Linked DNA regions of Oryzias latipes. The protein of the gene in region 3 interacts with the protein of the main gene of each other region in a pairwise test. Links are inferred from orthologs where the notes say so. Each region holds a gene or a part of one and is shown on either strand. Other genes may lie near its edges.

Region 1 (3,652 bases), on a different chromosome or scaffold from region 3:
CAGCTTCTGCCCCCCCTCCCCCATCCTCCCCTTCTACTCAGAATGCATTGCAAAGGCTGCTAGCCAATCCACACTCACTTGTCTGAGAAAGCGCTGGAGGAGTTTCCATCCATCACATACATTGTCTAACTGTTGTATTGGAGTAGCCTGTGTTACCCGTGAGTGCTTGACGACTTCAGCCCAGACATCGAGCTTGTGTCTGTTCGTCCGTGCATCTGTCCTGCAGTCCGCAAGAGCGCTGGGCTTTAACCTGCCCCGTCCCGACCTCTCTGTCATTCACTCTTCATGTACTCTACACAAAGAATGAAAACGGCTACTGAGAGTCATTTTGTCTTTATGGTGGAGACCCTTCCAGGGCAGATTACCTTAAGTTTGACTAGTGCTTCATTTGGGATCAGTCGCAGCCCAGACAAAGATGATAGCCGATACCACCATCCGGACAAACATGGTTCTGTGTAGCGTTTCGTTTTGGCCTGGCTCTCCTGCTTGTAGCCCTTCTTACTCTTACACAGTCGTAGCCCAGTGTACACGTCTGCCCATCTTTTCCTCTCTGGATCAAGCCAGTTCCTGCATCGAACACTCATTTTTCCCTCCATGGGTGAAAAGTGTCAAACAACAGGATTTAGCGTCAAACTGAAGTTTTTCTGACTTTTTAAACATCTCTACCTCTTTTTTCTTTTTATTCTGCATGTATAGATGAATCCGTTAGTAAAATCATTGGCTTTTATAGCATACATCCTGCTGTTCTTCTCAATGGAAGAAATAGTCACAATCTGATACGGTGGAGCAGGACACCTAAGGAGATCAAATAAAGACAGTCAACAGTAATTCCTGAGCCTTTTTCTTTTTTAGTAGATGGTGTCTCATGCACCAGAGAGCAACATAGATGTCTCAATCTCTGTGTTAATGCTTAAACGTCCAAAACCACTGAAGAGGAACTGCTCAGTTCCTGGCTGCCTTTTTGCCGTCCTCTCACCCAGCATTATTCCAGCCATATATCAAATGAACATTAACTCTGAATATTTCTTCACTTGATTATAAAGTCAGTGTGGCATGTCAGGCAGCTCGCAGGACCCAGCAATTTTGTTTGCTTTTGTTGTGTCAGCTTTAGTTTGGAGGCGCCGTCACAGATTTTCAGCTGCTTCTGTTTTTTGAGCCTGTCATCACATCTACTTTGTATCGCATCTATGTGTTGCTTTTTGGTTGTCATCGTTCGACTGTACTCTTATGCTTCCCCCATACATGTGACAGTGTACACATGTCGAAGCATCACTTTGTGCTGGTGCCTCTACTGAATGTAGTGCATCACAGTTTTTTTTATTTCTCCTGCATTAATACACGATCAACTTAGACGACCTTAAATGCCGCTCGGGCGGCGTCTGTTTATTAATGTGTCTATTTTTTGCCACTCTAGGAGAGGGAAAGGAGGAGGCAACATGTAATGCTAATGAAGGCTGTTGAGGCTCGCAAGAAAGCAGAGGTAGTCCTTATGTACACACAGACACACACCCCATTTCATAAAAGGGCCAAAGACTTTGCTTCCTCAGTGGATTCCTTCTTTTTTCAGGCAGTTTTCAATCTTTTTACACTCTTACCAAGTAAAAAGACTCTGGCCCTCAAGAACTTTTCCTTTGAAAGCAAGGCGGTTTTTAGACAGGAATTCTAGCCATGTTCAGCAATTTAAAGTAGTTGTAGCACACAAAATTCCCCTCGCATGCCTGGCTTTCCTAATGCGCCCTTGAATGTCGGACTCTTCAGGAGCGCGAACGCTTGCGGCAGGAGAAAAGAGACGAGAAGCGATTGAACAAAGAGCGTAAACAGGAGCAGCGCCGACTGGAACTGGAGATAGCGAGGGAACTGAAGAAGCCAAATGAAGACATGTGTCTGTCTGACCATAAGGTAACTAATAATAACAATAAAGCAGCAGTTGTTTGAACCTTTTCTTAAGAGTTTGTGTCACATTGCAGAGAACATTTTAATGATGAAAATGTGCACCACCAGGTGGTTGGAGAAGAGCAGTGCATCATGTTTTTTTAAGAACACTTCATCCAGTAAATGGCAAATCTGTTTTTAATCATAGGACCCAGATAAGGATGATTCTTTTTTTTTTCTTCTATAGAGTAACACATGCATCAGGACTATATAGTTTCGTTTTACTCACTGACTTTCCTGTTTCCAGGCTCTCCCGGAGTTTTCTCGGATTCCTGGTCTCATCCTCCCAGGACGTGCCGTGTCCGACTGCCTGATGCTCATGCACTTCCTGCGAGGTTTTGGGAAAGTTTTGGGCCTGGACATGAATGTGGACGTGCCCACCCTGGGGATGCTGCAGGAGGGTTTACTCAACGTGGGGGACAGCATGGGCCAAGTCCAAGACCTTGTAGTCAAGCTGCTTTCTCTAGCTGTCTGTGATCCTGGCCTGCCACCTGGGCAAAAGGTGAGCTTTGACCCAGAGGCCATGAAGACGAATGGACTAAGTACTTGCAGGAAAATTCCCTATCATGTCTTCAAATGAGAGAATACTTTAGAACAGTGATTAATTTGGAAGAAAGTACTTATTGTTCCTCTCCTTAAGTAAAATACGTCAATGATGATGAGCATTCTAATAAGTCTATGCTTATGCGTTTGTTATTTTTCTTCATGTTTTTTCCCTGAAAATATATTCACAAATCATAAAAAGGTGATGAATTGTCAGTGAACAAGCTAAAATTTTGTCTTGAATTGATCAAACGAATGCACTAACACATGCATGTGATGTCATGTCTTTACCAGACCAAAACCATGCTGGGAGACCACCTGACCAATGTTGGCATCAACAGGGATAATGTCTCTGAGGTGCTACAGATGTACATGGGAGCCCACTGTGGCAACACAGACCTGGCTCCTTTGGCCCTCAGTCTGAAGACCAAAGCCTTCCAGGCTCATACGCCGGCTCAGAAGGCCTCCATCCTGGGCTTCCTGGCCAATGAGCTGGCCTGTAGCAAAGCTGTTATCAGGTAGGTCAAGAGGCAGCGACTTCATCAGTGTCCACTTTTAAAATGACATCTGCAATTATGAAGCATAATAACCAATCCTAATAGATACAATAAACGTTGTTCTGAAAAGGATCACATAACAGTATTTATTCACTGGGATCGCACACAGAAAACTATCTTTGAACAAATTTTAAATGAACAATTAGACTTTCTCCATTACTCTTTAGGAAACAAGAATAGTAAGAAACCACAAACACAATATAGTATATGATAATATAGTATAATACTATGAGGTTTGGTTGTTTATAAAATTCTGCATTTCTGATTTAAACATTTTTTCCAATTTTTCCATTCATTTTCATTCCATTAATTGTTTTACTTTATTAAGATTAAATGGAACAAAAAGAATAAAGCTTCAGCACTGTTTCTGTAAAAATAATGAGAAGAAATCTTTTACCTTGATGAGTGGACACTTTAAAACGTCACTTTCCCAAAAGCCTATAAAAGGCTTTTTAAAAGAAAAAAACAAAAACTATTCAGAGGAAACAAGTCGGAGCCATTTTTGCCCTTCCTCTGGGTTTCCACCTTTTGTTCTTTTGTGCTCAAAATGTGCAACATCTGACTACAAAGTTAGAATATTCAGCTGTAAAATAAAAAACCTGTGTGTCATCCTGTCACTT
Region 2 (3,724 bases), on a different chromosome or scaffold from region 3:
AAATATTCTCAAGATAATTTGACAAACACACATAAGATAAAGTGGCTATGTATGCTTAATTGTGTCCCATATTTACTGCAGATGTGTCTGAAGGAAGAATTAGCAAAAGCCCTGAATGTTCTTGTTAAAAATGCTACCAATTAAATGCAAGGGCACAAACGGAGCTCATATGCCAATCACCTTTTTTTAATTGCTTTTTAAAGGTCTAAGCAACCACAACTAATTACCACATGAATAAATAACTACTAATATGTTTCCCGCGTGATGCTTGAAAAAGTAGCGAGCTTACCGACAACGTTTCCCGTGGCGTGGTATGTCTCACAATCCACGCAGAAGCTGCCTTGTTTCACAGAACCGAGCTGCTCCAGCTTTTTTTGCAGGACGTCCACGGTCTGCTGCACACTCTTGCCCTCCGCTATGGGCACCTGACAAACACTGAAAGACAAAACACCCGACTGAGCAGCGACAACCCAACGCATCCATGAAGGGGAGGAGCACGCTTTCCCCAAAAGAACAAACATTTGAAATAGACAGGTCCTATAAACATAGCGAAACCAAACTATGTTGAAATAATAATTACACTTTAATGAGCCAAAATATTCCTTACCAAGTTACTCCCATTTTTGTTTTGCCTCCTTCGCAACTACTTCCGGTTAAACAAATTGACTTCCGGTAAAGGAAAAAATAAAATAAAAATACAAGTGAACATAGACGAATTGAGTTAAACTGATTAACTCAGTTAATAAACATAGGTTCTTTCATATATAATGTTTCGAAACATTTTTAATGAAACCGGATGTGACGTAATGTATTTCCGCTGCCTCTGTCGCGCATGCCGTTTGTCCGCACGTGCTAAACAGCTGGGTGTTTACACACTAAAAAGGCATAGACAGGCTTTAGCTTGTAAATTTTTTTGGAGCTGTAGCGATGCCGAAAGTGAAGAAATCTAAAGGTGGAGGAGAAAAGAGCTCTGGATCCGTGGCGCTGGCTGACCAGATCCTGCAGACGGACACGGTCCGAGCCCGCAACCGGGTTAAGAGCAGAGACCAGCGGCCAGAAAGCGACGACACCTACGTAGACGAGCGGCTGTCGCGGAAAATCCTACAGCAAGCCCGAATTCAGCAAGAGGAGCTTCAGACCGAATATGGGCTGGTACCGGAGAAGAAGAAGGCGACACCGGTCACTGTTCTTGGTAATGTTGGATCAGAACCAGGACATCCGCTTCAGTTTAGAAAATGATCAAACAGAAGCCGTTGATTAAGGTTTCTAAAGGTTCTCTCTTGTTCTAGTTTTTCTTACCGAAGAAAACGATGACCAACTTTAGTAAAGTTGCATCACAGATTCATCACAATTCAGACCCATCTACCCTTAACAAAGACAAGTACACTTGAAGTTTACTTAAGGATACTTGAGTAATAAGTGTGTAGTAGTGTACAAGTATAGACCATGTACGTGTAGTGTAGGACATATAGTAACTGAATACTTTTTCAGACTTTTATTGGAAAATTTTAAATGTATATAAAAAGAAAATTCTAGTTTACTGCTTTACTTTTAGTATAGACAGTATACTTGTAGTTTACTTAAATAGACTACTTTTTGCTAAGGGATGCACTAATGCTATGACTTAAAAATAAAGTTAACTGTTCACTAATGATGGTTTTAGTAAACACTCCAAATTAAAATACTTTCAGTAAATAAATACTTAAAAATAGAAGTAATAATGTTTTCATTTACTCGTTTCTGTAGTTAGTTGGGTGATTCCATACATCTAGATCTGCATCTTTTCATTATGTGAGTTCTAAACACTCCTGTAACTGTAGGTCCTGAATCTGGGGATGCAGACTCGGATGAAGAGTGGCCCGCACTGGGAGAAGCAGTTTCTGGGGCGGCAGAAACCGAATGTGATGCTGAAATTATTGTAGACCCAGAAGACGAAAAGGCCATTGAGATGTTCATGAATAAAAACCCACCAATGAGGCAAGAAACATGGCAGTTCTGACTAACCAACAACAACAAACAGAAACCACCAGGCCAGTTTCTTCTGTCCCTACTAACATGTTTCTCTTTCTCGTAGGAGGACCCTGGCAGACATAATCATGGAGAAAATCACTGAGAAGCAGACCGAAGTGGGGACGGTGATGTCGGAGGTGTCAGGGCGCCCCATGCCTCAGCTGGACCCCAGAATTACAGAGGTTTATAGAGGTGTGGGAAAGGTGAGCTTTCTTATATTATTGAAGACATAAGCCGCGGTTACATGCGCAAAATATCTGGATCGGATTAAAATCCAACCGTGTACATGGGATCAGAAAACCTTTTTCCGATTAGAACAAACGTTCACATGGGTCACACTTTCGGTTGGAATAAATCATTTGAGCATGAGCAGTAGTGTTGAAAATACCGAAAGAGGAAATGGGTCCCACAGTAAACAAACCGAGCTGCCACATACATTCATGCAGCAGCTCGGTAATATACAAGACGATCTTCTAAACGTGCTTTTATCAATGTTATGAATATTATGAAGCGCCTGTTCGCTCATCATTTTAATTTTAATCCGTGTGGTCAGTGCTTTTTTTTGTGGAAGAACCCTGGAGAGGCTAACACACGCGCTAACAACATTAGCCTTTTTTGATGAACACAAACACTCCCCTCAAACACAAAGTTATGAATCCGGCTGCTCTGCTCAGAGACACAGTTCGCTCCGTCCACCGGCACCCGAGCCCGGACCACGCAGGGTCCAGACGTCACGGGGCACGAAGCGCTCCCCCTCGCAGCCCCCTCGTGAGGGGTGTAAGAGAGGGGAGAGGTGAAGAGCCAGCAGGGCGAGAGCAGAGCGGCGGTTCTCACCGGTCCTCCGCAGAGCAGCCGGTTGGTCCTGTTTGCGCTCCAAAGCTTTCTCTGGAGCGATACACCGTCTATGCGTGACGTTAAACCAGAGCAGTAGTGACACGATCGGAATGAACTGTTTACATGTAACACGATTGGATCAACAATCGGCATAACCCACCTATCTCGATCGGAAAGACATTTTGATCCAAACGAGTCTGATCAGGGCAGAGTATTCTGAACGGTGTGTTTACATGACACATTTTCCTTCCGATTCAGGTGTTCTTTCCAATTACTTTTGCCCATGTAAACACAGCTACTATAACACGGTGTTGTACAGTCTGATGGCTGTGGGGAGGAATGACCTGCGGTAGCGCTCCTTCTTACACTGAGGGTGCAACAGTCTGATGCTGAAGGAGCTGGTCAGCGCTTCTACAGTTTGGTGCAGGGGGTGGGAGGGGTTATCCATGATGGATGTTAGCTTAGCTTAACAAACACAGCCCACAATGGCACTGTCCTCTGAGAACTTCTGCAGGTGACAGTGGTGGGAGTTGTAGGTGAAGTCCGATGTGTACAGGGTGAACAGGTGTGGGGAGAGCACAGTCCCTTGAGGTGCCCCCGTGCTGCAGACCACCACATCAGACACACAGCCTCACAAACTGTGGTCTGTTTGTGAGGTAGTTGATGGTCCAAGCAACCAGATGTTGGTCCACACCTGCAACCTCCAGCTTCCTCCTCAGCAGTGATGGCTGGATGGTGTTGAAAGCACTGGAGAAATCAAAAAAACATGACTCTCACAGGGCTCCCAGGGGACTCCAGGTGAGAGGGTTAGGTGCTGCAGGTAGATGATGGCGTCATCCACCCCAATGCCTGGTCGATATGCAAACTGCAGCGGGTCCAG
Region 3 (3,752 bases):
AAATTCTCTGCATTGAAATTGGTAAAGAGACATAACATCTTTGAATCTACTACCTTTAACTGCAAAAGAGCCATTTGGGCCTGTTTCTTACTGATCAATTCCTAGTGGAAACGGCAACGTCTTATTTTACCCTTTCAAATTTGACAGAAGGGCCAGACCAGGAACAGATCTGTGGCTCGTTTTGCTGATCCACCTGATAAGAAAGAAAAAATGAACTGGAAAAACCTGCTTTAATATTGATTGACATCAAATGTATATATTTTAAAACAGGACATTTTGGAATTTCAAAACTGTGATTTATTTTTCTCAATTTACTGCCAGTCTCACTGATGGGTTGATGTCCCTCAGGAAAAAACACAAACTGAGGGGAAAAAAAGCTGTGTTCGTGTGCTGTTAGTACGATCGGACTGTCCTACAAGGAAAACACACATGAACGTCAGAAAAACAACAAATCTTCCAACTTCACCTGAATGCAAAATAACTTTTATGCACCTAAACAAAGGTACATGTATTTGTAGTGCACCATCTTGGGACTCACCAGAAAATAAAACATTAATCTTTCTGGCGAGCCGGATTTAATAGTTTCATGGCTGCATGTGAAACCCTTGGGGTGTAGTTTGCTCACCTCTGCTTTAGGAAAATGTGATAGTATGTATTTATTGTTTATTTAAAAACTAGCATTTTCTCTAGTGTGAAATTGCATTTTTACTATTGACAGAAGCTGCTTTCAAAATAAAAGACGCAAACAGGATCTTCTCAGTGCAGTTCGTGTACTTCCATGAAAGGTTTTTCTCCAAGGAATCTGAGGTCGGCTTCACAAATACTGCAGACAGTGATTCAAACCTAATCTTTAGCCGCAGATCTTCAGAGGAGCAGCACAGACATCAGTAGCAGACATTGCATTAGGGGCCGATACGTGGCGTTTGCGCTATCTGTGCGGTTTCCCCTGCTGGTCCCACAGCTGCCTCCTTGTCCAAATCTGGATATCTTCTCATTCAGCTGCTTCAAATGCCCCAGCATTCTGTTACATTTGTAGTGAATGGGGGAGGGGGGGGGCATCTAGGGGGGATATTAGGAGCATGTTTTATATGCATGAACGTTTTCTTGCAGCTCCAGCATGGTGTATAGTATATATAGTAACCTGTGGTGGTGGTGTTTACACAATAAGTGGGGGTCCTCGCTCATTCATGAGTGGGCTAACCTGGACATGGGAGCCAGTCCATATGAGTAAATGTTTGATTGACACGAACAATCAACCAATGAATGACGTCGGTAGGCAACTGTCTGGATTTCATTGGCCCCTTCGCTGGACCAGCCCTTATTTGCTAAACCAATTAATGGGATCTGGAAGTGATTGTTGACCGTTCTGACCAATCAGAAGGCTAATAGGGGGCAGGACGGGCGGGGCTTCACTGGGAGGGGGCGGGGCCTTTCAGGTCATTCAGTCCCTTTGCGATTCAGTCAATCGGCGTGTTTGCGGGGATTGGTGGCTGCTGTGAGGAGTTGCCGGGCGGTGGTGCTTTGAAAAACGCCTTTGTGAAGAAGAGACGCCGCTGAGAACCACGCCACCGACCGAAGACACGGCCGCCCCGGTGACGACGCGCGCGAGACTGTTCCGCGCGGAGATTACGCCACACGCACGAGCCCTCAAACGCAGCCAGGCTATCTGACTGTAGCATGCTAGCACTCCCGAAAACAGACGCTAGCCTCCAAGCTAATTACCCATCAGTCATCGTCCTCCGGCTCCTTGGGCATCGTTAGCTCGGTTCTGCTGGTGCCGGCGCCTTTGTTGTCGTCGCGAATTCTCCAGAACCGACCCAAAGAGAGCGCTGTTCTCCCCCCTCAGCTGGCAGTGGCAGTAGTAGTCTGCGTCGCCGCGGTTCAGACATCATCCCTGCCATCGGTCCGGACCCGTCACCTCTCTCTGCCCCTTCTTGTCCTCCACCCGGAACACTGGAAGTCCACAAGCGGCCGGATAGCGGCGAGGGGCCGGCGAAGCTGGGGGCGGGAACGTTACCGGACTCGCAGCCGCAGGGAGCCGTTACGCCAACGGACGACAAGCAGCAGCACAGCCGCGCGGACTCACCGGCGACGGGGATGGACGGGCTGGCCGTGGAGGTTCGCGGCTCCAACGGGGCCTTCTACAAGGTAAGCGGGGTTTCTACCGCCCGCCTCAAAGTCCGGCTTGGCCAGAACCGGCTTCGGAGAGCCAGAATAATTGGGGCCCAGCTGAGCCCGAGTCAGTTAGCTGCGGGTTTGGAGCGGTTCGACCGGGTCGGGTTAGCTAGCTTTGGTTAGCGGGGTGAAGCTAGGTCCTCCTACTCGTCGTCTTCACGCGTGGCCCGTTTGGGTCACGTTGGCGGGACAGTTCGGTTGAATTCGGGGTGTTTGGTGGGAGGAAGGCTCGGTCCTGTGAACGGGGTGGGTTTCGATGATCCAGACAGCTGTCGTGAGGTCGGTGAGGTGATGCTCCGTGAAGAAGCGGAGTGACCTCACCGCCACCATCATCATCATCATCATCATCAGTCCTGCTTTGGGCTGCTGATGCCTCACATGAGGAAGGGCGACGGTTTCTGTTTCAGTTCTGGCTGATCTTACTGAGAAACCAAACCTAAGGCTTCCCCCACCCTCTGTGCTTCCACTGAGGGGGGGTTATTATTGTTATTATTCTATTTATTTCAATGGAAACGAGTAGACTCCTCATCTGCTTCCACACATCTGAACCGGTTTGTCCCACAGGCAGACATGGGTCTCCAGTGGTCTGGACTTTGGTAACTCGGGGGTTCCATGTGCTCCATCTACCCCCCTCCCCCTGGGTTCAGTGATGGTCCTAAATTTACTCCTGTGCAGCTTCACCTGTTGTGTGTCTTACTGGTTGTCAGTGCGCCGTTGGCATGAATGACGGTTTTCCACTTTAGCGTGAGGCTCTGACCGCCACAGAACTGCCTCATTATTCGCATTTTAAACAGCAATTAATCCAAGCATTGACCTCCAAACAAAAGGTATTAATCGGAGATGCAACCATTCACTTTCCCCACGTCTCTGTTCGCGTGTTACAAATAGGGCTGTAAGAATATCACTTGTGGTTCCGGTTTATTCTTGATATCTTTTCATTCTGATTCTCTGACCTGAAGTGGATCCAGATCCTCTTGATCCAAACTTCCAGCAGTGAGACTCAGACAGAAATTCCTGCTACTGAACAGTTTTCCAGATTCTTGGATTTCTTCCAGATCATCAAGTTAAATGAAATCTGTGTCCAAACCAACAAGTAAACTAGAATGAATGTCAAATCCATTCACATGTTAGTTTCCTAAACTTCAGCGCTGTTGTGTTTCCACATCCAGAGAATCCAAAGGGAACATTCTAGCACAGGGGTGGGCAAACTCCGGCCCGGGGGGCCACACGTTAAAGGATCTGATCCGGCCCGCCAAACTGGGAAAAGTTAAATTGATCATCCTTACAAAGGTTTTATTTTTCCTGTAATTCATAAATGGTGCTCTGCAGATAAAGTGAGCTTTACTTTGGTGTAGAAAGTAATTCAGCACTCGTGTTGGAAGATCTGTTGTTTTTCAGATGTTTCTGACAATTCCAACCGCACCTGAATGCAGCATTTCTCTAATTTGGCTTATTTCCCCCCTGAGGGACATCAACCCATTGGCTCTAAAATGAGAACAAAATCATCCAAATATGTTGCGTTTTAAAATAAAATCATTTTTTATTAGTTCAAGCATGTTTTCATCCAGATTCCGTGT

The links.
Region 1: the proteins of fragile X mental retardation syndrome-related protein 1 (region 3) and baz2b interact in binary tests that used the Homo sapiens proteins (3 or more experiments, as listed by UniProt). The two-hybrid records come from large-scale screens. The link is inferred for Oryzias latipes from reciprocal best matches to the Homo sapiens genes FXR2 and BAZ2B.
Region 2: the proteins of fragile X mental retardation syndrome-related protein 1 (region 3) and bysl interact in binary tests that used the Homo sapiens proteins (3 or more experiments, as listed by UniProt). The two-hybrid records come from large-scale screens. The link is inferred for Oryzias latipes from reciprocal best matches to the Homo sapiens genes FXR2 and BYSL.

What each region holds. Positions count from the first base shown.
Region 1 is NC_019861.2:14,699,611-14,703,262, forward strand, and holds part of baz2b (bromodomain adjacent to zinc finger domain protein 2B), read left to right. Parts: intron 1-1,414; coding exon 1,415-1,480; intron 1,481-1,758; coding exon 1,759-1,899; intron 1,900-2,179; coding exon 2,180-2,434; intron 2,435-2,769; coding exon 2,770-2,993; intron 2,994-3,652. UniProt on the Homo sapiens protein: Regulatory subunit of the ATP-dependent BRF-1 and BRF-5 ISWI chromatin remodeling complexes, which form ordered nucleosome arrays on chromatin and facilitate access to DNA during DNA-templated processes such as DNA replication, transcription, and repair.
Region 2 is NC_019863.2:2,276,578-2,280,301, reverse strand, and holds the start of bysl (bystin), read left to right. Parts: upstream 1-818; 5' UTR 819-927; coding exon 928-1,192; intron 1,193-1,820; coding exon 1,821-1,977; intron 1,978-2,074; coding exon 2,075-2,213; intron 2,214-3,724. Other genes in the region: med20 (mediator of RNA polymerase II transcription subunit 20), read right to left, coding at 290-435, 608-621. UniProt on the Homo sapiens protein: Required for processing of 20S pre-rRNA precursor and biogenesis of 40S ribosomal subunits. May be required for trophinin-dependent regulation of cell adhesion during implantation of human embryos.
Region 3 is NC_019876.2:28,852,645-28,856,396, forward strand, and holds the start of fragile X mental retardation syndrome-related protein 1, read left to right. Parts: upstream 1-1,446; 5' UTR 1,447-2,097; coding exon 2,098-2,148; intron 2,149-3,752. UniProt on the Homo sapiens protein: mRNA-binding protein that acts as a regulator of mRNAs translation and/or stability, and which is required for adult hippocampal neurogenesis. Specifically binds to AU-rich elements (AREs) in the 3'-UTR of target mRNAs.